Linked DNA regions of Cricetulus griseus. The protein of the gene in region 1 purifies or fractionates together with the protein of each later gene. This does not show direct contact. Links are inferred from orthologs where the notes say so. Each region holds a gene or a part of one and is shown in the gene's direction. Other genes may lie near its edges.

What was found.
Region 2: the proteins of squamous cell carcinoma antigen recognized by T-cells 3 (region 1) and Snrpb purify together in Homo sapiens (co-immunoprecipitation; 4 studies listed by BioGRID and IntAct, with this or other methods). This does not show direct contact. The link is inferred for Cricetulus griseus from reciprocal best matches to the Homo sapiens genes SART3 and SNRPB.
Region 3: the proteins of squamous cell carcinoma antigen recognized by T-cells 3 (region 1) and Prpf4 purify together in Homo sapiens (affinity purification with mass spectrometry; 5 studies listed by BioGRID and IntAct, counting the BioPlex papers as one, with this or other methods). This does not show direct contact. The link is inferred for Cricetulus griseus from reciprocal best matches to the Homo sapiens genes SART3 and PRPF4.
Region 4: the proteins of squamous cell carcinoma antigen recognized by T-cells 3 (region 1) and Tut1 purify together in Homo sapiens (co-immunoprecipitation; 4 studies listed by BioGRID and IntAct, counting the BioPlex papers as one, with this or other methods). This does not show direct contact. The link is inferred for Cricetulus griseus from reciprocal best matches to the Homo sapiens genes SART3 and TUT1.
Region 5: the proteins of squamous cell carcinoma antigen recognized by T-cells 3 (region 1) and Ppih purify together in Homo sapiens (affinity purification with mass spectrometry; 3 studies listed by BioGRID and IntAct, with this or other methods). This does not show direct contact. The link is inferred for Cricetulus griseus from reciprocal best matches to the Homo sapiens genes SART3 and PPIH.
Region 6: the proteins of squamous cell carcinoma antigen recognized by T-cells 3 (region 1) and Prpf31 purify together in Homo sapiens (affinity purification with mass spectrometry; 6 studies listed by BioGRID and IntAct, counting the BioPlex papers as one, with this or other methods). This does not show direct contact. The link is inferred for Cricetulus griseus from reciprocal best matches to the Homo sapiens genes SART3 and PRPF31.
Region 7: the proteins of squamous cell carcinoma antigen recognized by T-cells 3 (region 1) and Prpf3 purify together in Homo sapiens (affinity purification with mass spectrometry; 5 studies listed by BioGRID and IntAct, counting the BioPlex papers as one, with this or other methods). This does not show direct contact. The link is inferred for Cricetulus griseus from reciprocal best matches to the Homo sapiens genes SART3 and PRPF3.

What each region holds. Positions count from the first base shown.
Region 1 is NC_048597.1:93,400,529-93,404,028, reverse strand, and holds part of squamous cell carcinoma antigen recognized by T-cells 3, read left to right. Parts: intron 1-150; coding exon 151-306; intron 307-1,737; coding exon 1,738-1,876; intron 1,877-2,371; coding exon 2,372-2,479; intron 2,480-3,500. UniProt on the Homo sapiens protein: U6 snRNP-binding protein that functions as a recycling factor of the splicing machinery. Promotes the initial reassembly of U4 and U6 snRNPs following their ejection from the spliceosome during its maturation.
Region 2 is NC_048599.1:48,439,467-48,443,610, forward strand, and holds the start of Snrpb (small nuclear ribonucleoprotein-associated proteins B and B'), read left to right. Parts: upstream 1-1,344; 5' UTR 1,345-1,491; coding exon 1,492-1,494; intron 1,495-3,575; coding exon 3,576-3,727; intron 3,728-4,144. UniProt on the Homo sapiens protein: Plays a role in pre-mRNA splicing as a core component of the spliceosomal U1, U2, U4 and U5 small nuclear ribonucleoproteins (snRNPs), the building blocks of the spliceosome.
Region 3 is NC_048595.1:83,460,714-83,464,737, reverse strand, and holds the start of Prpf4 (U4/U6 small nuclear ribonucleoprotein Prp4), read left to right. Parts: upstream 1-1,224; 5' UTR 1,225-1,360; coding exon 1,361-1,387; intron 1,388-2,056; coding exon 2,057-2,234; intron 2,235-4,024. UniProt on the Homo sapiens protein: Plays a role in pre-mRNA splicing as component of the U4/U6-U5 tri-snRNP complex that is involved in spliceosome assembly, and as component of the precatalytic spliceosome (spliceosome B complex).
Region 4 is NC_048596.1:51,140,779-51,144,982, reverse strand, and holds the start of Tut1 (speckle targeted PIP5K1A-regulated poly(A) polymerase), read left to right. Parts: upstream 1-1,404; 5' UTR 1,405-1,513; coding exon 1,514-1,595; intron 1,596-2,783; coding exon 2,784-2,974; intron 2,975-4,204. UniProt on the Homo sapiens protein: Poly(A) polymerase that creates the 3'-poly(A) tail of specific pre-mRNAs. Localizes to nuclear speckles together with PIP5K1A and mediates polyadenylation of a select set of mRNAs, such as HMOX1.
Region 5 is NC_048595.1:32,848,356-32,852,467, forward strand, and holds the start of Ppih (peptidyl-prolyl cis-trans isomerase H), read left to right. Parts: upstream 1-1,312; 5' UTR 1,313-1,381; coding exon 1,382-1,447; intron 1,448-1,606; coding exon 1,607-1,671; intron 1,672-1,989; coding exon 1,990-2,013; intron 2,014-2,271; coding exon 2,272-2,316; intron 2,317-3,364; coding exon 3,365-3,407; intron 3,408-4,112. UniProt on the Homo sapiens protein: PPIase that catalyzes the cis-trans isomerization of proline imidic peptide bonds in oligopeptides and may therefore assist protein folding. Participates in pre-mRNA splicing.
Region 6 is NC_048602.1:21,549,712-21,553,211, forward strand, and holds part of Prpf31 (U4/U6 small nuclear ribonucleoprotein Prp31), read left to right. Parts: intron 1-146; coding exon 147-230; intron 231-793; coding exon 794-891; intron 892-1,613; coding exon 1,614-1,720; intron 1,721-1,985; coding exon 1,986-2,155; intron 2,156-3,500. UniProt on the Homo sapiens protein: Involved in pre-mRNA splicing as component of the spliceosome. Required for the assembly of the U4/U5/U6 tri-snRNP complex, one of the building blocks of the spliceosome.
Region 7 is NW_023276806.1:60,654,367-60,657,866, forward strand, and holds part of Prpf3 (U4/U6 small nuclear ribonucleoprotein Prp3), read left to right. Parts: intron 1-2,183; exon of another isoform or gene 2,184-2,184; coding exon 2,185-2,315; intron 2,316-3,500. UniProt on the Homo sapiens protein: Plays a role in pre-mRNA splicing as component of the U4/U6-U5 tri-snRNP complex that is involved in spliceosome assembly, and as component of the precatalytic spliceosome (spliceosome B complex).

The sequences.
Region 1 (3,500 bases):
CAAATTTGTCCTGTCGTGGGCAGTTCTGAGGAAGAAGTCCTGGTGGCTCTCATCTGGGGTTATCTGCTCTTGCCAACGCTGAATTACTTGAAGATGATTTCTGAGAGTGTCAAGCATCCAGATTAACGAGTGTGATTTTCCTCACTCCAGTTGCAAGCAGAGGCCCCAAGGCTGGCAGAATACCAAGCGTACATCGATTTTGAGATGAAAATTGGAGATCCTGCTCGTATTCAGTTGATCTTCGAGCGCGCCTTGGTGGAGAACTGCCTGGTCCCAGACTTATGGATCCGCTACAGTCGGTACCTAGTAAGATTGTGCCTCAGTTCTGTGTCTGCCAAGCTAGACGTGAAAGAGATGGTTAAAGTGAAGCCTCCCGTACACACCACTGCTGGCTTTCAGCGGCAGTCACAGCCTGTGTGGCTGGCTTCGTTGTATCTCTACTGTCCCATCCCTGTTGTTCTTCACTGCTGCCTCAGCGTGTACATGAAATGTCCTTCTGTGTGAAAGGGCCCGGGTGAAGCTCATCCATCAGGGTTGTGTCTGTGGGACAGTTTGGACTGCCACCTCCCCCGCTCTGCCTATCTTGCATTCCTCTGGTGATTTCTTCCTTGAAGAAGTCAGGCCATGGCATTCTTTTATGTATGTTTTTGTCTCCATTTCTTTTGAGACAGGTCTCAAATGTGTGAATCTCCTGCTTTAGACTTGTAGTTGGCCCCACCCTACCCCAGGCGTAGAGGGGGCGGCTTCCCAGCTCCCAAATAAATACACAGAGACTTATTCTTACGTGTAAATGCCCAGCCTTAGCTTGGCTTGTTTTTAGCCACCTTTTCTAACTTAAATTATCCTGTTTCTCTTTAAGTTTTGCCTCTGGCCTTTTTTTATTTTTATTTTTTTTTTACCTTTCTTTACTCTATATGTCTTTCCCTCCTTCTTACTCCATGGCTGGCTGGGTGGCTGGCTTTTGGCATCCTCGCCTCCTCCTTTTCTCAATCCTCCCTCTTCTCTTCAAGCCTAGATTTCTCCTGCCTGCCAACTCTGCCTATTTTTCTCTGTCACCTGCCTTTTGGCCATTCAGCTTTTTATTAGACCAATCAGGTGTTTTAGACAGGCACAGTAACACAGCTTCACAGAGTTAAACAAATGCAACATAAAAGAATGCAATGCAACTTTGTATCATTGAACAAATATTCCACAGCATAAATGAATGTAACACATCTCACATCTTAAACTATATTCCACAGCATAGCCTCCTGAGTGCTGGGATGACAGGGCATACCTTGTGCATTCTTAGCTTTACAAGAGATGTTTCAAAGGAATCTCTTCCATCAGTTGGCTGTTCTGGGAGTGTCTCACTTTTCTCATCCACCACCAAGTACTTGACAGAGGCAGCTTAAGGGATGAGGCTGAGGGGATGCAGCCCTTGATGGTGTGGGGCTGTGGTGATGACGGTGTGGGGATGTGGTGATATGCTTCTGGCAGCAGCGATTTCAGTCAGGGATTGGAGAGTGGGGTACAGGGTAGGAGTGGGGTTGAGTTATAATCCTCAAGGCTCTCACCTCTCACTGACCCACTTGCTCAGGTAGAGCCTACCTCCCCAAAGTTTCACAACCTCCCAAAACAGTGCCAACAGCAGCTGGTACCAGGTGTTGGAACCTGAGCCTGTGCAGGGTGTTTCAGTCTCTACCACTGAGGAAGTCGTACAATTCTGTCCTCTCACTCTGGGATTCTTTGTCACAGGATCGGCAGCTGAAAGTAAAGGATTTGGTTTTATCTGTACACAGCCGTGCTGTGAGGAACTGCCCGTGGACAGTTGGCCTGTGGAGTCGGTACCTCTTGGCCATGGAGAGACATGGAGTGGACCATCAAATGATATCTGGTGTGAATGTTTGTGTGGGAGAATTTCTGAATTATTTTTTGGAATGTTCTTTCTATGCAGCTCGCTGTGGAGCCTAGGCTTGCTGGGATGACAGGCATGAGCCATCATGCCTGGCAGCTCTAGCCTTTTGTCCCAAGTGAGGAACAGAGCTGTAACAGTCTTGAGCCAGTACCCCAGGGCCTGCCTTGTAGTGGCAAAGGCTATATGGCTTCTTAGCACTTTAGCTTCTAATACTCAGTGAATTTCTTAGAAGTCACGAACTGTCTTGTCCAACTGGGACTCTCACTATGGAAGAAGAGTTCCTCCTAGAGCACAGGGCTGGAGGGGTGTACCCTGCAAACACTGCTTCTATTCTTTTCCTTCCTTGATGTGTGATGCTGGGATAGACATCTACAGCTTGTGCGTTTATAAGTGCATAAACCACATATTTATGGGTTTTGATGGCTTTATTTCTTTTTGAATTGTCTGGTGAATATTGTGTTTTTTCCATTGCAGCAACCTTTGAGAATGCTCTGAGTGCTGGCTTTATCCAGGCCACTGATTATGTGGAGATTTGGCAGGTGTACCTAGATTACCTAAGGAGAAGGGTTGACTTCAGACAAGGTAGAGTGTGAGCCTCATCAGAACTGGACTTAGTCATCATGTCCCCCCACCTCCCTGTGTGTGCATGTGTGTGTGTGTGTGTGTGTGTGTGTGTGTGTGCGCGCGCGCGCGCGCCTACGCACAAGCACATGTGTGTTCTCGAAGGTACATGTGTGAAGGTCAGAGATGAGCCTTGGGTTCTGTTCCTTGGGAGTCATCCACTGATTTTTGGGACAGGGTGTGTCATGGGTTGACGCTAAGCTTTAGCTTGGCTGGTTTGTCAGTGAGTACCAGGGATCTGCTTGTTTCCACCTTCCTAGCAGTGGGGCATGTCGCCTCACTGGCTTTTTACTTGGGTGCTGGGAATCATGTCCTCAGGCTGGCATGGCAAGCACCTTATGATTGTATCATCCTCCCCCATCCTCCAGCTGCCATTCTTTTTCTGAGCACATCCTTGGAGATATGTCCCTGTTCTTTAAGCACGCTGAGATTGGGAAAGGGTTGGTGAATGACCTGCCCTTAGAACATTTTTTGTGGAAACTAGCAATTTCCAACTGAATTCACACTGTGGTGTGGAAAGGATGACAGCTCTTGTGCTTGTGCTAGTTCCTGGTAGCCACGGTAACCTCTCATTTTCTGTGTCTGACCTGTTATAAGCCCTGTTTCAGTTTCTTTTCTGTTACTGTGATGAATGTTCTGACAAACACTCAGGGGAGAAGGCACAGGCCAGCAAGTTGGGCATTCAGGGTTGAGGAGCTTAGAGCAGCCACCACAGGACTTTGAGAGAAGAGAGTAGAGTAGATGCTGTGTGTGCCCTGTCCATCACACAGCCCAGGACCCCAGTTGGGACCACGCCACCCACAGTGGGATGGCCTTCCACCTCAATGAATGTAGCCGAGTTTACCCATCACAGGCAGGTCCAGGGGCCCTTTTTCCTGCTGATTCTAGGTTCTGTGGAGTTGACACTGACCACCACAAGCCCCAGATCTTTTTTCCAACAAGACTGCCATACTCTTTTTTTTTTTTTTTTTAGATACTTATT
Region 2 (4,144 bases), on another chromosome or scaffold:
AACAAGGTTAGAGGAATAAATTACAAACTCCTGGGCATATAAACAACAGTTAGAAGTCACTGAGCAGAATAAGATTAATTCATTCAGCAAATAATTATTGAGCCTTTATGCTAAGCAGTGATCTAAGCAAATAAAACACTATACTCTAGTGGAGCTTACATTCTAATGGGGTAATAAAATAACTTAAGAATATAGACAGTAATCATCTCTTATCCCAGTCTATAGGTCTGAAAATATTAAATGGAAAATTCTAGAACTAAGCATTTAATGTTCTAAGTCATGCACCATTGTGACTAGCATGAGGAAATACCATATTTTTGCCCTAACCACAAATCTTCCCTTTGTGTAGGTTTCCACACTGCATACGCTACCCTCTCGGTAGCTAGAGGGATCATCAGATCAACTGACCTGCGTTGCAGTGTTTGTGTTCAGGTGGTCCTTGTTTTGTTAATAGTCCTAAAGCACTTAATTAGTGATGCCGGCAATTCAAAGGTACCCAAATATGCTTTCTTTAAGTGGAAAAGCACAAGTTCACTGAAGTATACATATGTAGAAAAAATACAGCATATTCAGGGTTTGGTACTGTGACTCGGAGAAGGTACTGGGAGTCTTGGAAGGTAACCCCTCCAACAATGAGGGGACTACCGCTTAGCATGTCAGATAGCAATCAATATTAAAGACAAAAAATGGGAAGGACTCGTTTCTTATCTATCTATCTATCTATCTATCTATCTATCTATCTATCTATCTATCTATCTACCTACCTACCTATCTATAAAGAGAAAGGACGATCAGGGAAGTCCTCACCAGGACAGTGTTATTTCAGTCTAAACATGAAGAGGAAAGGGCGAGACAAAAGCAAATGCAAAGGTACAGATGAAAGAACATTTCAAGCCTTAGGGGAAAATCAGTAAGAGTGAGTTCTGTGAGTGAGTTCACGAGAGCGCTGGGTTCAAGAACTGGAGTAGGGGAGGGGTTCCGGGGAGAGAAACACGCCACCCTCGCGGAGACTAAGTTGGGAAGGTGTGTGTCCAACGAGGATCCAATGCTTTCAAGGGCGTTCAGTTTGATGTTTATTACCAAATATGATGGTGTACGCCCGCGTCGGTACTAAGGATGCTATAGGTAGGAGGATCGGAGCTTAAGACCAGCCTGGGCGACACAGTCTCTAAAACAAAACAAAACGAGAGGGAGAGCTCGATAAAATTAAAACGAAGAAAAAAAAAAAAAACCAAAACCACACACACCAAAAAAATCAAAACAAAAACAAAACCCCAAACAAACCGGCCGCAGTCAACACCTTTCCACGCCCTAAACTGCTACCAGGGCCCGGAACTCCGGGGCGGAGGCCGAGCCGGAAGTAGCCTCACGAGGGGCGGCACTTTGCGGGCTGCATTTCCGTTAGCGGCGGCGGGAATCGCGCTGCTGGCTGGCGACTAGGCCTCTGTGGAAGCGAATCCGGCGGGCATCTGAGACATCGGAGCCGCCACCATGGTAAGAAGGCGCGGGCTGGCCGCGGGGCGCTCAGGGGTGCGGAGTGGGGCGGTGGCTGGCGGCGGCCGTGGGTTGAAGCCGCCCGTGGCCGACAAGGTCGGGGTCGAAGCCGCTTAATCCGGGCGCCAAAGGCCTGGACTTGCGGAGCGGCTGGGCCCGGGTGGAGGGGAAGGCTGCACCGGGGACCGAGGCCGCCGTGCGTGGCCCGGCGCCTCTGCGGTTACAGTTCCGCGGCCTCGGTAGCTGGAAACGTGTGCCGGGTCGCTGTGTGCCCGGGCTCCCGGAGCGGACGCGAGCCTCCGGCCGACCGGGGGACACCGGGCCGGACGGAGGAGAGGCGGAGGGAGCGGGAGGGTGGAGGAGAGTGTTTGCATGCAGAGCGCGACCCTGCTACGCGTATTTTTATGTTGGGGTATGTCAGGCGCTGGGGCTGCACCCTGAAATAAGTTGTGCGTTGGTTCAGTTTCTGGCTCTGTGCAGGGCTAATGTGATTCTCTATGGCAGTTCGGCTTTAGGCAAAAAAGTAACGGCAGGGGGAGGGGCGGGACGGGTCCAGAGCAGACGCCCAAGTGATTGTTTAGGAGCGCCCCGCTCCCCTGTACGAGGGAGGGTTAGAAATCTGGAGAACCGAGAGGGCCCAGTAGAAGGCAACGAATTGTCAGGAACCTGGTTGCTGAAGTCCCTGCATCTTGTTTTCCCTCTTGGTAGTAAGACATCGCTGGAAGAGTTTTCACAGGCTTCATGGACTTAGGTTTAGAAAGGTCAGCCGGGAAAAGTGGCCAGTGCTCGAAATTTGTAATTTCTGTGCATAGTAGGCAGAGGAGCTTGAATTTTGAAGCCAGTTTTGGCTACAGAGCAAATGTAACAAATGCCTCGAATGTCTCCAAAAATATTAGTCTAGTTAAGTAGCTGAAGAAACCCGAGGTAGCGAAAATAGGTTATTGTTTTTGAGAGTTGACTGAGACAAGTCCTTACTTAACCTTCAGCTTGGGTCGTCTATTTGGTCAGTAAAAAGGAATGACAGTGGACCCAGTTTTGAGGATTAAAGGAGATAAATCCTTTTCAAGGGCCTAGCCATACATAGCTATTAAATATTAGCTATTGGACCGATATACGCCGATCCTAGTAACAGAGCTCTTTGAGATGATTATTTAAGCAGAAAAAAATACAAAATCTGGTTTTCAGGTTAGGGCTGGGTAATGCTCACAGGGGTGAACAGCGTTCCTGGTACAGAGAAGACAACTTGGGTAGTTAAAAGTGACATAATGCCAGTTATAGTTGTGGGTAACTGATACGTTTCTGAGAGAGACTACCACAGATACCTCTGTTCACCTAGGGGTGTGTATAAGCGCCTTTATTTTTGCAAAGTTACATTGGGAACCAGGATAGAGAATGTTGTTTGCCTTAATTAAAAATTAGACTATTATATTATATATATATATTAGACTATTAAGTATCCAAACTAATTAGCACTCTGGCCCAGAAAAGTTGCCCAAGTTACCCTACTCCTGTTCTTGCTTCAGAGCTGGTTTCACTTTCTGGTAATAAGCTTTTCCTTAATTAAGTGAATCCACTTAGTGCCTGTTGAATTCCAGTTCTTAGTTTAGATGGATTTAGTTGTTCGTAGAACTGAGTCTATATAGTGGTGGATGGCTTAATGCCCACTAGGTCTAGTATGGGTGGATTTGATTAGTTTGTGAACACTTTAACTCTCCTGAGACAGATACAACATAGACAAAGTTGTAGTCCCAGGGAGATTGCCTGTTTTAAGGGCAGGGAAAATAGCACATTAATGGGCAGAAATCAAGGCTAAAGCTGGTTGATAAGAGTCTCAGAAAAGGACCTTGTTTGGAAGATGTCAGGAAATTGTTGAGAAGGTTGGGAATAGAAAAGTAGGCTGTGGTGGAAGATGGGGGCGGGGAGCAGAAGTGTGTGAGCGAGTCCTCCCTGCTCCCTCTTTGCAGACTGTGGGTAAGAGCAGAAGTGTGTGAGTGAGTCCTCCCTGCTCCCTCCTTGCAGACTGTGGGTAAGAGCAGAAGTGTGTGAGTGAGTCCTCACTGCTCCCTGCTCTCTCCTTGCAGACTGTGGGTAAGAGCAGCAAGATGCTGCAGCACATTGACTACAGGATGAGGTGCATCCTGCAAGATGGCCGGATCTTCATCGGGACCTTCAAAGCTTTTGACAAGCATATGAATTTGATCCTCTGTGACTGTGATGAATTCAGGAAGATCAAGTAAGGAGAGGGCTGTTGGGAGGGAGAAGGAACTGGGATGGACTGGATGGATGGGCGGGCCAAGAGTGGGATGGCCATTCAGCTAGGTGCTCTTGTTTGCTCACTTGCTTTTGAAGGGAGAAACTTAAAGGGGAATGTTAGCTGCTAAGGAATCTCTTCCTTAATCCAGAAAACCTTGCTCTCCAATTCTAGCAAAGTAGAAGTTGGTGAGGAGGGCTGCTAGGCTTTTAATTTTTCTGAGTTTGCATGCCCCTGGGTACTGGGGTAAAGGGCTCTCATGTTCTCCCCACAGGTGTGTGAGGGGGGAGAGCTTGATTTTCTGGCCTCATTACCTATTTGTAAAGCTGTAGCCTAAAGGGCTCTCCTATTGCAGCCTGGTCTGAAACTGCTTTAAGAAGCCTCTGACCCTCTTCAGGG
Region 3 (4,024 bases), on another chromosome or scaffold:
TCGTATGGGACAAAAAACTATGATGTATACAAATGAAGAAACATTTATCTTTTTCTCAGGAGGCTTAGCACAACCAGGGGTTGATATAATCAATACAAAACACTGGCCCATGACATTTCAAATTATTTTATTCTAAATCAGCTACCACCTTCTACCAGATCCCTAAGTAAAGAAATGGAAGAGGAATCCAGCTCCAAAGAAAAAGGAAGAAATAATTAGAAGAAAAGTTTTCTACTTGTGTACACACTGAAAGCCTCAACACTAGAGGGCGATATTGAGTGCGGGTTAAAAGAACTGCTCTCCACCCGCTACTTTAGTAATCCTACTACACTATGGCTCCAGAACGACGGGTTAGCTTCATTTCTCACAATTATTTATTTTATGTACTCTGTTGTCTCGTGACTTGAATGACTAAAATAGAATATGCTCCTTGCGCATAATTTAGCATTTAGTAAGCAAAGCATTCGAAGAGAAAGTGTCCCTATGATTGCATTTGTTTGGGGAAGAGGCTTAAGAGTGGGAGTGAGTCTGTCCAGTTCAGCAAACACGAATATTTTGGCAATCCCCACAATCTTCATGTAAGGATAAAAAGAAAACCTTATCTCCGATGGCCTAGCATCAGTGGAGCGAGAGCTGCTGGTATGCACTCTCCCTGGCGCCTCCCTGGCCCCTTTATCTCAAAGACCACATACAAAGAATACGGTTGTAGACAAGTAACCCAACAACAAAGTAGGCCGCAGCTCCCCCGCCACGTCTTTATTTTAGTCCTAGAAGACTCTTCGAGTTTAATGTCTTCTTGAAGCCCAAAGTCACTGCGAAGCCACGCAGTTACGAGGGGCCCCCGGGAAGACTTCCGTGCCGACGTGGACAACAGTCCGCTTTCCCAGCTCCTAAGCTGCACTAGTCTAGGGAGAGATTTCCATGGCAACACAGCCCTCGGCTGCGAGATGACGGAAGGTCTCCCGAAGGAGAGCAGAGACCCTCGGTTCGCTCATGATTACAGTCGAGATCCACGAACCTACCTCTTTTCAGGCCTCTGCAGCTTCCCAGAACCTCAACTCCCACCATGAAGCCATTGCTGTCCTGCCCGAACTACACTTCCCAGGCTGCTCTGAGCCTCTCTTCCCACACGCCTCTTCTCCCGCGAGCTTGTGGAGACGCTCTATGAGGCCACGCCCCTCGACGCCAGCCGACGTTGGGCAACTACGACGACCAAGATACTTCGCGACTACCAGAGCACAGAGTACGCTCCTGGTACGTTTCCGGCCAGTGACGCACTTCCACTTTGCTGGGCGCGCGGTGGACGGTCTGAAAAGGAGAGCGCGGATTTGGTTAGGGCCTCGAGGCTCCAGAGCCCAGCATGGCCTCCTCACGAGCCTCTTCCACGGTACGGGGCTCCGGATCGCAGCTCAGGCCGGTCCTCTCCCAGAGAGGGCGGGGTCCCCGCGGGAAGGGGCCGTTACCTCGAGGGTCAGGGCGGAGGAGGAAGGCTGAGGGACCCTAGTGTGGAGCAGCCTTTTCCTGACTTCTAAACGCTTTCGTGTGCTACAGCTCTTTTTGCACCACTCTCACTTCAGCCCCGAGCGGTGAACACTGTCTCTAACTGCTCCAAAACACGGTGCTTAGAAGTGGAGACATGTCTTGACTTAAACTGTATGACTCGGGACTTAACGATGAGGCCTCCCAACTTCTAATCCGCTCTGGAAGTATTTGAAATGTGTATTCCAGTAACGTGGTGCACCGAAAGCCACCCTGATTGTTTAGGTTATTCTTGGTATTTGTCCAGTGATGGGCAGTTATTTTTGTAAAACCGGAGATTGCATTTCAAATAAAATAAAGTAAAAGGGCCCCAAAGCAAACCAGATACTTCAAACAGAAATTGATTCGTTGTATTTGTCTGCCAAACTTAACGAGAGTCTAAACTCGCACAAAATCAATCTTGACGGATACCCACCTTGTCCTTTAGCTTTTGGAGAAAATAAAATGAAAGCGTTAGTTTCATTCGTTTGGGAAGCATGGTTTACTAGGACCTTAACCAGGGTCTTTGATTTAACAGGCAACTAAAACTAAAGCACCTGATGATTTAGTTGCTCCTGTTGTGAAGAAACCACACATCTATTATGGAAGCTTGGAAGAGAAAGAGAGGGAACGTCTGGCCAAAGGAGAGTCTGGGATTTTGGGAAAAGAAGGACTCAAAGCAGGCATTGAAGCTGGAAATATTAATATAACCTCCGGTAAGACCCAAATTGTGAATCATCTTTACTTTTTTTTTTTTTTTTTAACTGCCAGGGACTCCAACACAGGGTTTTTTTGCATGCTAGGCAAGTGTTCCACCACTGAACCACACATTTGGCTAGTCAGTTGCCTTTGAACTGCCTTCTGCCTCCTCCCGGGTACTAGAACCACGTCTACACTGCCCTGCACCTTTAATGATCCAATTTTCAGATGAACACCTTCCCAGACCAAGTAACATTAAGATTTATAGGGTCAAAACCTTCGATTCTTGGCCTGGGGGTCTACTTCAGGTGACAAAAGGTTTGCTGTGCAACCATTAGGGCTTGAGATTGATTCCCTGGAACCATGTTTTGTTTGGGGGACAGGGCTGAGGGGTTGGAGCTTTAGCTCAGTGGTTGAGCACTTGCCCAGCAAGCACAAGGGTTAGTCCTCATCTCTGAAAAAAACAAGGCAAAATAACAAAAAGGGGCTGGAGAGATGGCTCAGTGGTTTAGAGCACTAGCTGCTCTTCCAGAGGTCCTGAGTTCAATTCCCAGCAACTACATGGCAGCTCATAACCATCTATAAAGGGTTTGATGCCTTCTGACATGCAGGCATACATGCAGATAGAGCATCATATATAAAGTACATAATTAAATTTTTTAAAACTGAATGTGGTGGTAATCCCAATGTTGAGGAAACATTGACTTCCACATCTGCTCATGCACACATCCGTACTCTTCTGTTCTTACCATGGAGTCTTTGGCTTTCGCTTCTTGGCATTATCCAGAGCGTGTTTTTCTTATATTTCATACAGTTCCTGATACAAGTTACTGATGATCTTTGAAAACTTCAGTGGGTGTTTTGATTCATCAGTTGTATTTGTCTTTGGGAGATGTAGAGTAGTTCTGGCATTGATGCATGACTCAAGCTGTTTATAGTATTCTCTCCTTTACTTTTCTAGTTTGTTTCTTTGTGTCTTTACCTTTCAAGACAGGGTTTCTCTGTGTAGCCCTGGACTGCTCCTGAATGCTGGGATTAAAGGCGTGCACCACCATTGCCCAGCTTTCTAGTTATATTTTTTTTTCAAACCTAGATTAAAATAATGTTTTTTAGTATGAAGGGACAGTAATTTTAAAAGATTTTAAAAAATCAACATGTGTCTCTATGAGGTAGAAAATCTATATTGTGAATTGGATGTATTTCTTCTATAAATGGTACCATGATGTGTAAATTGTTTTATAGCCTACATTTTTTCCCTTGTATACTGTTGAGGTTTGTCTCTTTATATTACCGTCAAGAAATGTATTGATTAATTTTGGTTTTTGAGACAAGATCTCCACTATAGCTCAAGCTGGCCTAGAAGTTGTGGCAGTCTTTCTACTGTGCCCTCCTTGTACTGAATAACAGATGGGAGCCACCATGCCCAGCTTAAGAGTTTTATATTTTAAAAATAAAGTTATGCATATTTGTCATAAGCAATTAGATTAGCACAGAAAGGTAAAGTTTAGTGATGAGTACTTGCCTGGCATGATGGCACACACCTGTCATCCTAGCACTCATGTCCTGAAGGCAGGAAGGTCACAAGGACAGGGAGCATCCTAGGTTGCATAGCTTGAGCTGATCCTGTCTACACACCACTCAGGAGGTGGAGACAGGCTGTAATAAGGTGGAGTAGAGACAAGATCTGAGCCCTTTTGGACAGAGGAAGGGGACTGCTAGTTCTCTGATCTTCCAGCTTTTACCCCACTATCTGGCTCCTGGGTTTTATTGATTAAGATTAATTGGATTTACACTTCAGACATATTTA
Region 4 (4,204 bases), on another chromosome or scaffold:
CTGCACAGATGGGGGTTAGAATGTCTTCCTGTTAGCCACTTTTACTCTCCCTCCTTTTTGGTGCTGAGAAATTGATCCCAGGGTCTGGCGTATGCTACTCACGTGCTCTACTATTGCCACCACCTACATCCTCAGCCCTTCACTTTCATTTAAGCATTCTAGCAGCCAGGGTCAGATGCATCTCACCAGGTGGGGGTGGTTGACACATACCTTTAATCTCAGCACTTGGGAGTCAGAGGCAGGCAGATCTCTTAAATTCAAGGCCAATTTGATCTACAGTAGAAGGAGTTCCAGGAGAGCCAGGGCTACACAAAGAAGCCCTGTCTTGAAAACAAAGATGCATTTCACTTTAGTGTTTGTGGGTGTGGTACTGCAGTACTTTACAGTTCAAGCTTAGTGGTATATATATACAGACTGCTGGATTTGTACAGCTAGTGTTAGCACCTACCCCCACTGTTGAGTGTGCAGTAGTACTGTTTTCTGTTTTGATTTCATCTGCTTTTTTGGTTTGGTGTAAGGATCAGATACCTGAGCAGGGTACAATAGGAGGGACACCTTAGAACAGTTGGTTAGTTCAACCAATTCTCCTTAGGCACTTTAGAGATAGAAGGGCCTCATGGCTCAGCCAAGGCCACAGACTGGTTTCCTGATAATCACAGAACAAGCTGGTGAACCCACCTGATAGCCTTTCCATTTCATTATCGTCACTGTGGTCAGCTCTCATATCCTCTCTTGTTCCTGAACCTACGAGACTGACTCATGTGCCTGACTGGGGATCTGTAGCACTTCCCCTCCCACCTCCTTGAATAAATGTGTATCTCTTAGCACTGTAGTCTGTTCTTCATTGTACTGCCTTGAAATAGGCCTCGTTAATATACTTCATTAAGGCTACAACTGCTGAGCAGACTTTGACTGGGATAGTAGCCATCTGCTGTTGGTCTCATTGAGTCCAAGTGAAAGGGAGTAGGGGGCGGACAGCGCTGAAAACTGTTTTGTCGAGGATCCAGTTGTACAGAAAGGAACTGACCTGAGGATGTGGGAGTACCTGAGCTCCACAAGGCAAAGGATTGGAAACACCCACCCTCCGCTTCTACTCGCAGGGTGAAATAAAAGATTGAGGTGCAGGTCTGGGGTGAAGTGAAGGCAGATCGCATGCCACCACTTGGCAAAGAAAGAGCTGTGCTGTCAAGAAGCAAGCCCATCTTTGTGGCTGCTTAATGAATATTCACAATTCTTCGGGCCAATCAACGCTGGAATGGAACGGAGCATGCCAACTAGTTAACCCTAGACCAATAAGCGTCGTCGGTGGGCGGCCTTTCTTAAAACTGACTTAATAGGAACCCTTAACCCTAAGAACACGGTTTCTGGACGAATATGCTGGCGCCGGACACAAGCGTCACTTCCTGCAGCACTGGCGGAAGTGGCTTCCCCACACATTGCGATTTTGAGCTGTGAGTTCTGGTAGTGACTGGTGGCGGGAGAGGTTGTAGGCGGCCCATACCGGAGAATCGCTATGGAGGCGGAGGATTCGGATGTCGTATCGCTGCCTCGTGGTCGCTTTCGCTGCTGTCTCTGCGACATTACTACAGCCAACCGTAAGCGGTGGCTAGTGAGGGAAGGGGGAGGTTGCAGGCTTTCACTTTTTAGGTGCTAGTGAAAGAGTTATTTAGGTTATAGTTTTTGCTGGCACTAGGGTCATCCACCTCTGTTTTCACTCAGTACGTCCCAGGGCATTCGGAGAGTGGGGAAATTCTCACCGGTTCTTCTCACAATGCAAAAGCTCCATAGTGAAACTTTCACTATTCCTTTTAAAACATCACCTTTGTGATGTTTTAAACATCACATGTTTTAAAACATCAGCTCTGTGCCTGGTGCTTTACTGGTCTCTGGAATCAGGAAGGGAGGGATTCAGGAATTCACTGTCTGCACTGAGACAGTTTCAGTACACCATGGGTATGTTTACAGAGCTGAAGCATCACAGAGAAGGCAGTAGTTCAATTGGAGACTCCCAATGGGGAGGATTTCTCCAGAGGCGAGGATGAGTGAAACATGGTGGCCTGAGTGAATGCAGAAGGTGCCAGTGAGGAAAAGGGTTTGGAAAGACAGACTGAGATTTTGTGACACCAAAAGACACTTAGTGACATCTCAGATCCTACTTTTGATGTCTAGAATGTGATCTCCCCTAAACAGGGTCTTCTGGTATTTTCTTTGTGAATGACATTTCCCCTTCTCCCCTCCCCCTGCCCCATCAGGGCAAGCCAGGAATTTAGGACAGTGCCTTGTCCCTGTACTTTCATGGCACTAAGCAGCTGATGATAAAATAATACTAATAGCTAATTTCCCACACTTACTACATACCAGATGGCCAGAGCTGTTTGTGAATGATACCTATGTGGTAGGCGAGATCATTTCCATCATATATGGGAAAAGGATACATTTGGAATACCTGCTATTTATCTCTGAGGATTAGTCAGGGCCCTAATTTATTTACTTCTACATATGACCTTGGACAAGTTGCTTGTTAATTCCTCTACAGTGGGCAGATGTCGCTCTGCTTAACACATACCATTGGCTTAAGAACTACCTGCACTGCAGCCCTCCCTCTTGGAAATCTCTTAGAGAATGCACTGTGTGGACAAAGGGGAAGAATATCAAACTCTGTCCAAATGTTACCCTTTGTCTTTGAAGGAACAGGGTTTCTATGTATAGAGAAGAGAGCAAGGGGACAGGTATACAAAGAGTTACTTTATATGCTTATGTCACACGCACACTTGTCTCTACAGGACCCAGCCTAGATGCCCACTTGAAAGGCCGGAAACACCGGGATCTTGTACAACTACGAGCTACCAGAAGGGCCCAGGGACTTCGAAGTGTGTTTGTCAGTGGCTTTCCCAGGGATGTGGGTGCTGCTCAGCTTTCGGAGTATTTCCAGACTTTTGGCCCTGTGGCCAATGTTGTCATGGACAAGGACAAGGTAGAGTGAGTGTCTTTGGGATTAATTTGTCAGATGGATTTGCCTTATATAAAAGAGAGAAACCAGCAGCCTGTTTTGGCAGTTTCCTAATGTGGCTCATCCTTGGTAGACATTTCAGAACTTGGAATAGCTTAGTTTTGGGAGCTTCTGCCACCTTGGATTTAATCCATTCACAAGAGTTAATTATGGAGGACTTGTTTACCAAACATTGTGTCTTTTTTGTTTGTTTTTTTCGAGACAGGGTTTCTCTGTATTGCTTTGGAACCTGTCCTAGAACTCGCTCTGTAGACCAGGCTGACCTGGGATTCACAGAGATACACCTGCCTCTGCCTCTTGAGTGCTGGAGTTAAAGGCTTGGCCAAGGCTCGTGGGGGCTGGAGAGATGGCTCAGCGGTTAAGAGCACTGACTGCTCTTCCAGAGGTCCTGAGTTAAATTCCCAGCAACCACATGGTGGCTCACAACCACCTTGAATGAGATCTGGTACCCCCTGTTGGCATGCGGGCAGAAGACTGTATACTAAATAAAAAAAAAAAATAGTAAAAAAAAAAAGGCTTGGCCAAGGCTCTTGACCTATTGCCTGCTAACTGCCATCCCTCCCCCCCCCCTTTTTTTTTTTTCCTTCAGTTCTAGGGGATTGCACATGGGACTTTTGAATGCTAGGAAAGTGGCCTCTGTCTATCTCCAAACCATCCTCATAGCCTTTATCAATCACTTCTTGTGTACTGGTGAGACAACTGCAATTGTGTGTATATGATATGACATAAAAGTCCACATTGTTTTGCTTATGACTGTCCAGTTGTCCTAGCATCATTTATCTATAAGCCCGCTCTTTCCTCACTATTATGTTGAAAAGTAGTTGACTATATGTACACAGTGTTCTGCCTGCGTGTATGTCTGCATGCCAAAAGAGGGCACCAGATCTCATTGTGAGCTACCATGTGGTTGCTGGGAATTGAATTCAGGACCTCTGTAAGAGCAGCCAGTGCTCTTAACCTCTCGGCCATCTCTCCAGCCTGGCACTATTTTCTTAATTACTTTATAGACTGCCTTTTTATAGGAACAGATGATATAAAAGGACATGCACTTTTACCCATAAGCACTCATGTTTGCCTTGCTCCTGCTAATGTTTTACCTTAAAAAAAAAATTATCTCACTGGCAGTTGTGGCACAGGCCTTTAATCCCAGCACTCGGGAGGCAGAGGCAGGCCTGGTCTGCAAAGCTACACAGA
Region 5 (4,112 bases), on another chromosome or scaffold:
AGAGGCTCTCCCCTGAACCTGGGGGTTCACATTTTCTCAGCTAGCCCGTGAACATCCTGTCTCCACCCTCCTTGAAGCTGAGATTACAGCTTTTTTAATAATAAGTAGAGGTGGGAATGAAAGGGTCAGGCATTATGCTGGCCTGCCCATTACCTGGTGGAATCCACTCAGGCAATACCCTGGTCAGCCCAAGGTTCCATGGGAAAGAAGTCTGCACGCAGGTGCAGAGGACCCCTTTAAAAGATAGGCCCCTGCACCTTTACGCTCTGTCTGTCTCTCTCTCCCCGTTTCTCTGTTTCCCCGCTCTCTCTCTCTATGGCGACCGGCCATGGCGGTCAGCCATTACCCTGTTCCTCTTCTTAGTCTCCCCATTCTACCGGGCCTTATAATAAACTTATAGTCAATATGTCTGTCTCAATATTTCTCTTTTCTTCTTTTTAAACAAAAGAATAACATGCAGGATACCCAGTTTGTCGCATGGGTGCTGGGATGCCCTGATCCTCCTGAACCATCTGTTCAACGCCAGTTCCAAAAGGATATGGCAAACCATGTAGGTAATCCCAGCATTTGGGACGCTGAGGTAGGAATATCGTTGAGCTCAAAGCCAGCCCTTGATAAGCAGCAAGACTGTCTCAAAAACATTTAAGGTGAAAAAAAAATATTTTAGAAGAGACAAAACTCGAATCAAGGCCTTAAAGGACGTAGCAATCTAACGTCTCCACAACCGAGCCAGAAAGGGTAAAGAGTGGTAGGCAGGAGATGAGGCTAGGTAGTGTGAGGTCTCTACTTTCAGGTCTTCGCTACCAGCGGTGGCAAATAAATGGCATTCGGGCCTTCGTATACACAGCTGGATTTACGTTAAATATGCAAATCCCCCACACACGATTTACAAGCACAAAGGTTGTTTCTTAAACTGCAACTCTGTGGGAAATGAGTTGGAAGCTTGCGACAGAAATGAAATCACATTTCCAGGATCCCGAATGAGCCAGCCTACGTAACATTTTACAACACGGAGGGTGATTCTGAGGGTTCTCCCCTCGTGGGTGCCGCCTCGGGGGCAGGGGACACCCAGTGTGACGGCTCAGCAAATGCTGTCTGCCGGTCACTCATTTGTACTGCACTAGTACAGTCACGCGAGTAGGGAGCCCGCCGCCTTCGGCGAAGATGCCTGCACTCCCTCGCTTCTGCGCCTTCTCCCCTCATCCCCGCCTTCCCTCAGAACCGACCCGCTCTACAACACCAGTGTCCGCCTTCCCGGCGGTCCGCGCCGCGCTTCCGGGGGCGGGGCCCAACCCCGGTCGGTTTCCACGGCCCCTGTGCTTTGGCTGAATTCAGCAAGGCCGGTCCCCGGAAACTGGACTTCTACTTCCGGGTCAGAGCCATGGCGGTGGCAAATTCAAGTCCAGTCAATCCGGTGGTCTTCTTTGATGTCAGCATCGGCGGCCAGGTGAGGTGCGGGAGGCCCGGCGGACCTGCGCGGCTGGGCAGGACACGGGTGAGGGAGGCAGCCGAGACTGGCTGGGCCAGGGCGGCCGAGGTGGGCGCTTCCGAGCTGCGTGGGCTGCGGTCGTGGACTGAGCCTTCTTGCGTCTCCCGTCACTTGCAGGAGGTTGGTCGCATGAAGATCGAGCTGTTTGCAGACGTGGTGCCTAAGACGGCAGAGAACTTCAGGTGAGGAGATGCTCCACTGAATCAGCGTGGCTGAGCCCGAAGCCGGCCTCGGGGCGCTCTTTGCAATGTCTGCCTCTGTCCATCCGTCCACTGCCTTGTGCTCTGTGCTCTGTGTATTATTGCACTGGCCGAATAGCTACCGGGTTTGACCGTTCCTGTGTCAATTTGTGATATTAGTTTACATGGCTGCATGCCCTGACATCCGGCCGACCAGTTAGTGGACTTGCTGGCCCCACTGTTTGTACCCTCATCTCCCGATATTAGAGATGCTCCGGGCAGCGATGGCATGGTAACTGTTCATTGTTTCTTTCCTTTTAGGCAATTCTGCACTGGAGAGTTCAGGTCAGTCTCAGATGTGTTTGACCTCTATTCCTCCTACTCCTGAAGGGTGTCCTGGAGGTTTGGTGAGGGTATTGGGGAACCATGGGCAAGTCTTGAGTGGTGGAAGATGATATTCAGAGGGTGTCTTCTTTATCGATGCGTTCTTTAGCTTGCTTCTATCCAAATCTTTCTGAGAGTCCTTTTAGCCTCCAGTGTGTCCCAAACGGAAAGGACCCATGGTTATTTGTCATCACTCCAAGTCTTTCTTTTTGGTTACAGAAAAGATGGTGTTCCAATAGGATACAAAGGAAGCACCTTCCATAGGTAAGGCTTTTGGCAAACTGTTAATGCAGTCATCACTTGGTATCTGTGCAGGCAATCCTGAACACCTGAGTACACCTATGGTAGATTAGGTTTGTTGTTTAAAGTGTCATGTCCAGGGCTGAGGATGTAGCTTGGTGGTAGAGAATTTTCCCAGCATACCTGAGACCCTGGGTTCAATACTCAGCACCACAGGCACCGTAAGTCATCCTAGATGTAGAAATGATGGCAAGGAAAACACTATCAGTTGGGTGCAGGTGCAGTTCCATAGGCTTCTATACCCAGCTTTTATGTGGGTTCTAGGGATCTGAACTCAGGTCCTCATGCCTCATTAACAAGGACTTTACCCACTGAACCATCCCCCTGGTTCCAGGTAGAGGCTTTGGTAATAATTACTATTATCAGGCAGTCATCTGCAGGAACCTGACCTTCTTGAATGCCTTGCTTTCTGTGTTTACCAATTTTTGTTAGGGTTTGACAGAAGTTGTTCCACTTTAATCCTGAAATTTTTGTGTCATCCATATCAGGGGCTTTAGAATTATGGTCTTTAATCCTTCCCAGCATCCTTGTGAGGTAGTATGTGTAATCTGCCTTCTTTAAGGAAGGAAACTGGGGCTAAGAAAGGACTATGCCTGGGTATATAACAGCTTACATTACCCTGTGTGTGTGTGGCAGTCCATTTCACATATATTTGCTGTTGTTCTTTCTTTCCCCCCAGATTTTCATTAAGCCCTTGACTTTTTTTTTTTTTTTTTTTTTTTTTTTTTTTTGTAAATATGTTATTTCTTCCTGACAGGTTTCAGCCCTTTTCTGTTGTTCAGGTGCTCACTCATATACCTTAGATCAACACAAAGATGCCCCTGGAGCTTAAAACAAGTTATGGTTCGTAATCCCTCATCTTGCTCAACTCCAGGGGTGAAGACTCAGTCTCTAAGCCACGGTGATAAACATTGTACTTCAGAAAAAATTACTAAGCTGCTATGTTGGTGACCAAACCACTGAATCCTTCCCTCGGGAATTTTTTGTTTGTTTTGTTTTTACTCTGTTTCAGGGTCATAAAGGATTTCATGATTCAGGGTGGAGATTTTGTTAATGTAAGTACTGCTGTTTTTTCTTTGCTATTCTTCCTATAGGGCTCCAGTCTTGAGATTTAAGAATAATAGCTAAGTTAAATGGAGAGAGCATGGACTAGGGGATGCACTGTAGAATTGCTGGTACTGCTGACTGTGCCCTTAGAACATATACCAATACTAAACTTGAATCATTAACTCCCATTGTCCAAACCTGAGCTTTTTTGTTACCAAAAATTGGACTTTGCTAGTCTACCTATAGACAGATGATCTAAGACCACATTCTTTGACCACAGAAAACTTTGAAATTAGCTGCAGCCCCCCTCCCCCACAGGAAGTGAGCCAACTGCTTGTATGCCCTATTTTTCCTTCCACTTCTGGTGTCCCTCTCTAAAATTGTAGTTTTTTGTTTGTTTTTGTGGTCTGTCTTTTTTCCTTTTGAAAGCTGAGGGGTTTTTTTGTTTTATTTTGGTTTTTGTTTTGTTTTGTTTTTTGTTTCTCAAGACAAGGTTTTTCTGTGGTTTTGGAGGCTTGCCTGGAACTAACTCTCATAAGACTAGGTTGGTCTCGAACTCAAAAAGATCCGCCTGCCTCTGCTTCCCGAGTGCTGTGATTAAAGGCGTGCGCCACCACCACCTGGCTGATAACCACAAGCCAGTTAGTGGCAAGGGGTCAGGAGAGGCAGGCAATTCAAAGGGTGTTTGCTCTGCTTGCTGAGGTAGCCCAAGG
Region 6 (3,500 bases), on another chromosome or scaffold:
ATGCTGGGGAGGTTTCCAAGTCCCTAGTGCATGCTTCAGCCCCTCCTTTCTGATCCAGCCAGCTTCAGCTCCAGTCTTCCCTAGCTCTGTGACTTACAGACGGGTGGGTGCCCTCTCTCATCCACATTCCTTCTTCCCCTTCCTAGTGATGGGACCAGTGGAGGCAGCCCCCGAGTACCGAGTCATTGTGGATGCCAACAACCTGACCGTGGAGATAGAAAACGAGCTGAGTGAGTGATGGGGACAGCCCTGTTGTGTGCCCTTCCCTCTTTATGACGCAAAGGGAAGAATAGGCATGAACCTGGACCTCTTCTGTTTGCCTTTCTTCGACTACTGCCCTGACCAGGTTTACCTTCTGTAACAGACTGATTTACATGAAGAGAAAGTGTATTCTCCTTCCTGAAAGTCTAAGTAAACAGAGCAGGTCTAGAGTCACCCTTTGACCCCTTCAGCCACCAGACTCTGCCACTGGTTTCATGCTCCAGGGTGATTGCCTCATTTCACGTCCCTACCAGCAAATGGGGAGGGAAGACAGGGCATGGCTGCTTCCTTAAGGCCATGGTCTGGATGTGGAAAATGCCAATTGAGTTCACATCTTGTAGACATTAGAACAGACTTCATGCCTGCACATAGCCCTGGGGACAGCTAGGAAATGTAGATTTCATGCTGGCATCCATGCACCAACCCAAGATTTGGGCTTGTTCACTAGAGAGGCGGAAGTGGGTGTTGGGGATAGCAGCAGAGTCTGCCTCCCCCTCCCTCAGCGGACACCCACCCTCCCTGTCCACTTTAGACATTATCCATAAGTTCATCCGGGATAAGTACTCGAAGAGATTCCCGGAGCTAGAATCCTTGGTTCCCAACGCTCTGGATTACATCCGCACAGTCAAGGTGAGTGGGGAGGAGTCTGGTCCCGGAAGCAGCGTGAAGCCTCGGGATCTAGAAAACGATGGAGAGGCGTGAGCCGGGGCTCAGTGGGAAGGGACAGGTGCCGGACAGGGTGTCTCACACACACCTCTGGCTTCTCTCCTCCCCTTAGCTTGTGGGAGGATCCCCATTGGCCTGGCCCTTGCCTCTGGCTGTCATTGGGTCAGGTGTCCTTTGAACTAGCCTCTGAAGGCTGGCAGAGGCCGCAGCGAGATAAGAGCTGAGATCCTGAGTGGGAACAAATGAGGAGGAAGTGAGAAGAGGCAGGGAGGGGAGCTTGACAGGTCAGAAAGGTCAGAGCACATCACACACAGAAGGTTTGGGCTCCCCTGGGAGCAATGACAGGAGCAGGCAGAGGGGAAAGAGCAGGGGTCCTGCCTCTGTCCAGGAGGTCAGGGTGGGAGCCGAGGAAGTCCGTCTCTAGTCGTGAGCTCCCGCAGGCTTCTTTAGTGCAGCGTGTCGTCCTTGAAGGCCACTTTGCCCAGCTTCCACTTCTGGGTCAGCAGAGCAGGCAGTGCTGATGCTTTCAGCAGTGAAGTTGTCAACCTGTAAGAGGCAAGAGAGGTCTCCAGTATTAGCTTTCCCGGGTTCCTCAAGGGAGCCCTGTGTTCGTGTTGAAGCAAAAGAGCTTCTAGAATCTTCTGGGAGTTACTACGGTCTCTCTCTTTCTCCCCTTCCCACCCCAGGAGCTGGGCAACAGCCTGGACAAGTGCAAGAACAATGAGAACCTCCAGCAAATCCTGACCAATGCTACCATCATGGTCGTCAGTGTCACCGCATCCACCACCCAGGGGTACGTATACCACGCGGTAAGGCGCTGCAAGCCTACCATAGGCCAGCTGGCAGCAGAGACCAGAAAGGGCAGAATGGGGTTGATGGTGAGGGTGGTGCTGGCTGAGAGCTGTGGTCCCTAGGCTGATAGAAGTTGGGGTAGCCCCAGAGTTACACAGACACACACGCATACAGAACCGAGAGGATGGGTGGGGCTGGACACCCGTTAGACAAGCGCGCAGCAGAACTGGGCGCCGGCCCCAACCCTTCCCTGCTTCCCAACTCAGGCAGCAGCTGTCGGATGAGGAGCTGGAGCGCCTGGAGGAGGCCTGTGACATGGCCCTGGAGCTGAATGCTTCCAAGCACCGCATCTACGAGTACGTGGAGTCCCGGATGTCGTTCATCGCACCCAACCTGTCCATCATCATTGGGGCATCCACAGCTGCCAAGATCATGGGTGAGTTCCCAGCTGGGTCCCATGGTCTGGGGTTGTCCTGGGGAAGTGGGGCTTGACATTAGGGGCTCTATTACACTGTCATCTGGAGACTGAAGTCAGCCAGCTTGGCATAGCAAATGATAAAAGTGTAGCAGCCCCTTCTGAGTACAGCTGGCTGAAGAAGGAGCCTCCTCCCGCCAATGGGTCCATTTTGGACCCTGGGGCATCCACAGAGTAGTAAAGTCAGCTCCTGACCCTCGGGCTTTCCTACTGGATAGGGCAGCAATCCTGTCATGTGCTAAGTTCCTCCTCCCAGAAGCTCCGGTAGCCGGAGTCCTTCCTTGCAGGGAATGCTCGCTCACAAAGGGAATGTGGGGAAGCCACCACCTTTGGTCCCTTAGCTGTGGTCTTGAGGACTACAGGCCAGGACACTTACACTCCCGAGGGTGCTGTTTCAGAGTTGACAAGTCTGAGACCAAGGTGCTTTTGGGGTTGGTTTCTCCCTCAGCCTCTGCTTGGCTCGGGCATGCCTTCTGTATTTTCATGCAGCCATGCTGCTGTATCTGCAGCCTCATCTCCCTTCCTCACAAGGATGCCAGTCAGATAGAATCGGGATCCGTATGACCTCATCTTATCTTTGCCCTCTCCTTAAAGATTCTATGACCTGGGCCAGAAAGATGGCCCAGCAGGGAAAAGTCCTTGCCACCCAAGCCTGACAGCCTGAGTGTGATCCTCTTAACCCACACGAAGGTGGAGAGAGCTAGTCCCATAAGTGTCCTCTGCTTTCATGCACACACACATATAAAAATAACCTAAAGCGGTGAATAACTGATACTGAATCCAGAAGGTTAGGATAACTTTTAATAGATAAACGCCAACCAACAGCAAGCCAGAGGGTGCCAAAGCAGCAAGGCGAGAGAGCTCCCATGTGCCTTGTCTGTCCCTTTAAAACCACCCTGACATCACCTTGACCACATCCTGAAGGGCGTGGTTACGGTGTCTCCCTACAGTAACCTGCCCCCATACACACACATACACATAAATGATCCTGTAGCCTTCCAGACGAAGTGGCTTAGACCAGTAATCCCAGTGTTTAGAAGGCTGAGGCAGGAGGATTGCTTTGAATTTGAGGTCCTGAGCTACAGAATACTGTCTCAAACCAGCAAACGAATGAAGGTGCAAAATTGTCTTAGTCACCGTTCTACACTGTGAAGAGACACCATGGTCAAGGTAACTCTTCTGGAAGAAAGCACTTAACCAACCCAACCTGGGGCTTGCTGACACTTTTAGAGGCAAAAGCTATTATCGTGGTCATCATGGCTTGGTAGCAGGGAGCATGGCAGCAGGCAGGTGTGGTGCTGCAGAA
Region 7 (3,500 bases), on another chromosome or scaffold:
CTCCTAGAGATCCACATTCCTCTGCCTCCTGAGTGTTGGGGTTAAAGGTGTGTACTACCCTCCTTACTCCTTATTTATTTATTTGTTTGTTTATTTGTTTATAAGACAGGGTTCAGTGGTGCCCAGCCTGGCTTCCAAATCAGTATGTAGGGGAGGATGGCCTAAGATTTATGATTCTCTTTCCTCTACATCAGTGGTTCTCAACCTGTGGGTTTTGACCCCACAGGGGACACATAACAGCTGTGTCCTGCACATTATAATTCGTAACAGTAGCAAAATTGCACTTATGAAGTAGCAATGAAATAATTTTATGGTTAGAGTCACCACAACATGAGGACCTGTATTAAAGGAAGGTTGAGGACCACTACTCTACATCCGGAATCCTGGGATTATAAGCATGTATCACACCTGACTTTTGCAGTCCTGGAGATGGAGGAAACCAGAATCTAGACAAGCATTGTACCAACTGAGCCATACCCTCTCTCCTTATTTTCCCTCTGTTATAATGGGAAGAGCTTAAATAACCAATTTTTCTCTCTCTCTTTATTATTTGTGGCACGTTAATAAATCAGTCTTTGGCCACCATCCCAAGTCACCTAAATCAAGTTTGCTTAGGAAGCACTGTTCAGTCAAATAGCCTGATCCGATTGATGCCTTAGAGTGTGGAAGTCTAATAAGATGCATGAAAAGGTACAGGGAGGTGGGTTTGCTGGTAGTTGCCTTTGATTTGTTGTGTATGAAAAGTTTAAATGATGTGATATTTATCTTTTAGGGTGCTGGGGACCCAAGCCTTTGTGCCTATCAAGCAAAGTACTCTTCCAAAGAGCTACTTTCCCAGCCCTCATCTTAAACTTTGAATTTTAATTTAAGCAGATTTATCTGGCTCTACTACTTTGTGCTCCAAAAAAAATTAGAACCTTTTACCTCATATAGCAGGGTCATTAAGTATATCAGGAATTGGGAATTCCGAGAAGAAAACTATTTACTTAGTTATGAAGACAGGATTTCACTATTTAGCTCTAATTGGCCTCTGTCTCCTGAGTACTAGAACTAAAGACATAATGTGTCTGAAGCTATTTTATTTTATTTATTTATTTTTGGTTTTTTGAGATAGGCCTTCTCTGTGGCTTTGGAGGCTGTCCTGGAACTAGCTCTTGTAGACCAGGCTGGTCTTGAATTCCCAGAGATCCGCCTGCCTCAGCCTCTGCCTCTCAAGTGCTGGGGTTAAAGGCTTGAGCCACCAATGCCCACCAATGCCCGGCTTTTATTTTACTTTTTATGTGTGTGTTTCATTTACATTTATGTATACACCCCAGAAGTGTGCAGCTAGCTAGAAAGAGTTCAGTCCCCTAAAACTGGAGTTGCAGCATACAGTTGTGAGCTTCCATGTGGGTACTAGGAATCAAACTTAGGTTCCTGGAAAAGCAGCCAGTGCTTTTAATTGATAAAACACCTCTTGAGCCACTACAATTTTAAATTTGGGGGAGGGGTATGTGAGGGAAGATAAATTTATGTGTGTGTGAGGGAAGGTGCCCTCAGAGGCATTAGATCCCCCCGCCCCCCAGGTCATAGGCAGTTGTCAGCATCTCATTGTGGATTCTGCATAACAAACTTGGGCCCTCTGCAATAGCAGTATGTGCTCTTAACCATTTCTCTAGTCCTCTACAAAGAAGTTCTTAAAATGTTTTTTTACATGAGCTAGAGAGATGGCCCAGCGGTTAAGAGCACTGTCTGCTTTTGTGGCAGACCCAGGTTCAATTCCCAACACCTACATGTCAGCTCACAGCTGTCTTAATTCCAGTGCTGTCTACTGTCCTCCTTGGGCGTGCAGCATGTAGTGACATGAATAGTCAAAACATAAAATTACAGCCGGCTGTTGGTGGCTCATGCCTTTAATCCCAGCACTCAGGAGGCAGAGGCAGGTGGATCTGTTTGAGTTCGAGGCCAGCCTGGTCTCCAGAGTGAGTGCCTGATAGGCTCCAAAGCTACATAGAGAAACCCTGTCTCGAAAAACCAAATAAATAAATAAATAAATAAATAAATAAATAAATAAAATAACAATACCTTAAAGAAATGAAGAGTAAAACCTTTTTCCCTTTTATTCTAGTCTGTTGTTTATTACATGTTTGGTATTGAACTGTATACTTTTACCTCTTCAATCTGTGGCTTCTTTTTTCCTGTCAGATCACCTGAAACCTTTTCTTGATGATTCTACTCTCCGATTTGTGGATAAGCTGTTTGAGGCTGTGGAGGAAGGTCGAAGCTCTAGACATTCCAAGTCTAGCAGTGACAGAAGCAGAAAACGAGAACTAAAGGTAGGTTACGGTCACTATATAATAATAAGCTCAGGAGTGTTTGGAATAAGAAATGTGCTGGCATACCTGCTTACACTTTGACATCTACTATTAGAACACCTAGTGTGAGGGCTACGGTTAAAATTCAGTAATAGAGAGCTTAGTGCTTGTCCAGCATGCATGAGGTTCTGGGCTCAATCCCAGTACTGCAACAAATAGAGTTAAAAACAACAACAAAATAGAACACCCAGTGTTCAAGAGGGAGCCTCAGACATTAAAGTAGAAGGGTAGGATTTATATTATCTCCATCACCCTGAACCTTTCTCAAAAAGGTTCATTTAAAATAGTCCAAGGAAGTAATTGATAGCTTGTCCTTTCTTTATTCATACATTTTATTTTCACCATTCCCTCTTTACCTACTACCTATAAATTGATTGATCTAAGAATCTTGGTCTACTTAAAGTCTAGTAAGTTGATTCATCATATCTCCACTGCTTCCTGACTGTGGACCTTAGTCTTGTTCATTAATAAAGATTTCTATTTAATATACTTGTAGATAAGATGCCTGAAACTAACTGCCATATAGTCCACATTTGTTGTATGTGGTTACTGGCTCCATGAGTGGGATGTGTGAAAGAGTTAGAAATACTCCCTTTTCTGCTAAGTACTTATTTTGTGGTTACAGTATAGTCATGGTCTTTTTATATATGATCTTATCTCAGTTCCCCAATGTAGCCCATTTCTCTGTCTGACTTTCTTTTGCCTCTTTTGGGTTTTTGGTTGGTTTGTTCTGAGATAGGGTCTTACTATATAGCTAGCTCTGCCTGTCTTGGACTGTGATTCTCTGAGTGCTAGGGTTACAAGTGTGTACCACCATGATCAGCTTGTTTTTGTCTTTAATATGTTTTCTTTTGTTTATGGATTTTTTTAAAGATTCATTTAAAATTTTTATTTATGTATGTGTATACACACAGATGACCATAAAGGTCAGAAGAGGGTGTCAAATCCCTTGGGGCTTGAATTACAGGTAGTTTTGAGCAACCATATATATACGTGCTAGGAACCACACTAGTCCTTGGAAGAGCCATACTCACTCTTAACCTCTTAATTATCCCTCCAGCCCTTGTTTTGGGTTTTTGAGACAAGATCTTGCCACCAAGCCCAGGCTGCCCTCAAACTCAGGTTCTGACCCAGCCTCCTGAGTGC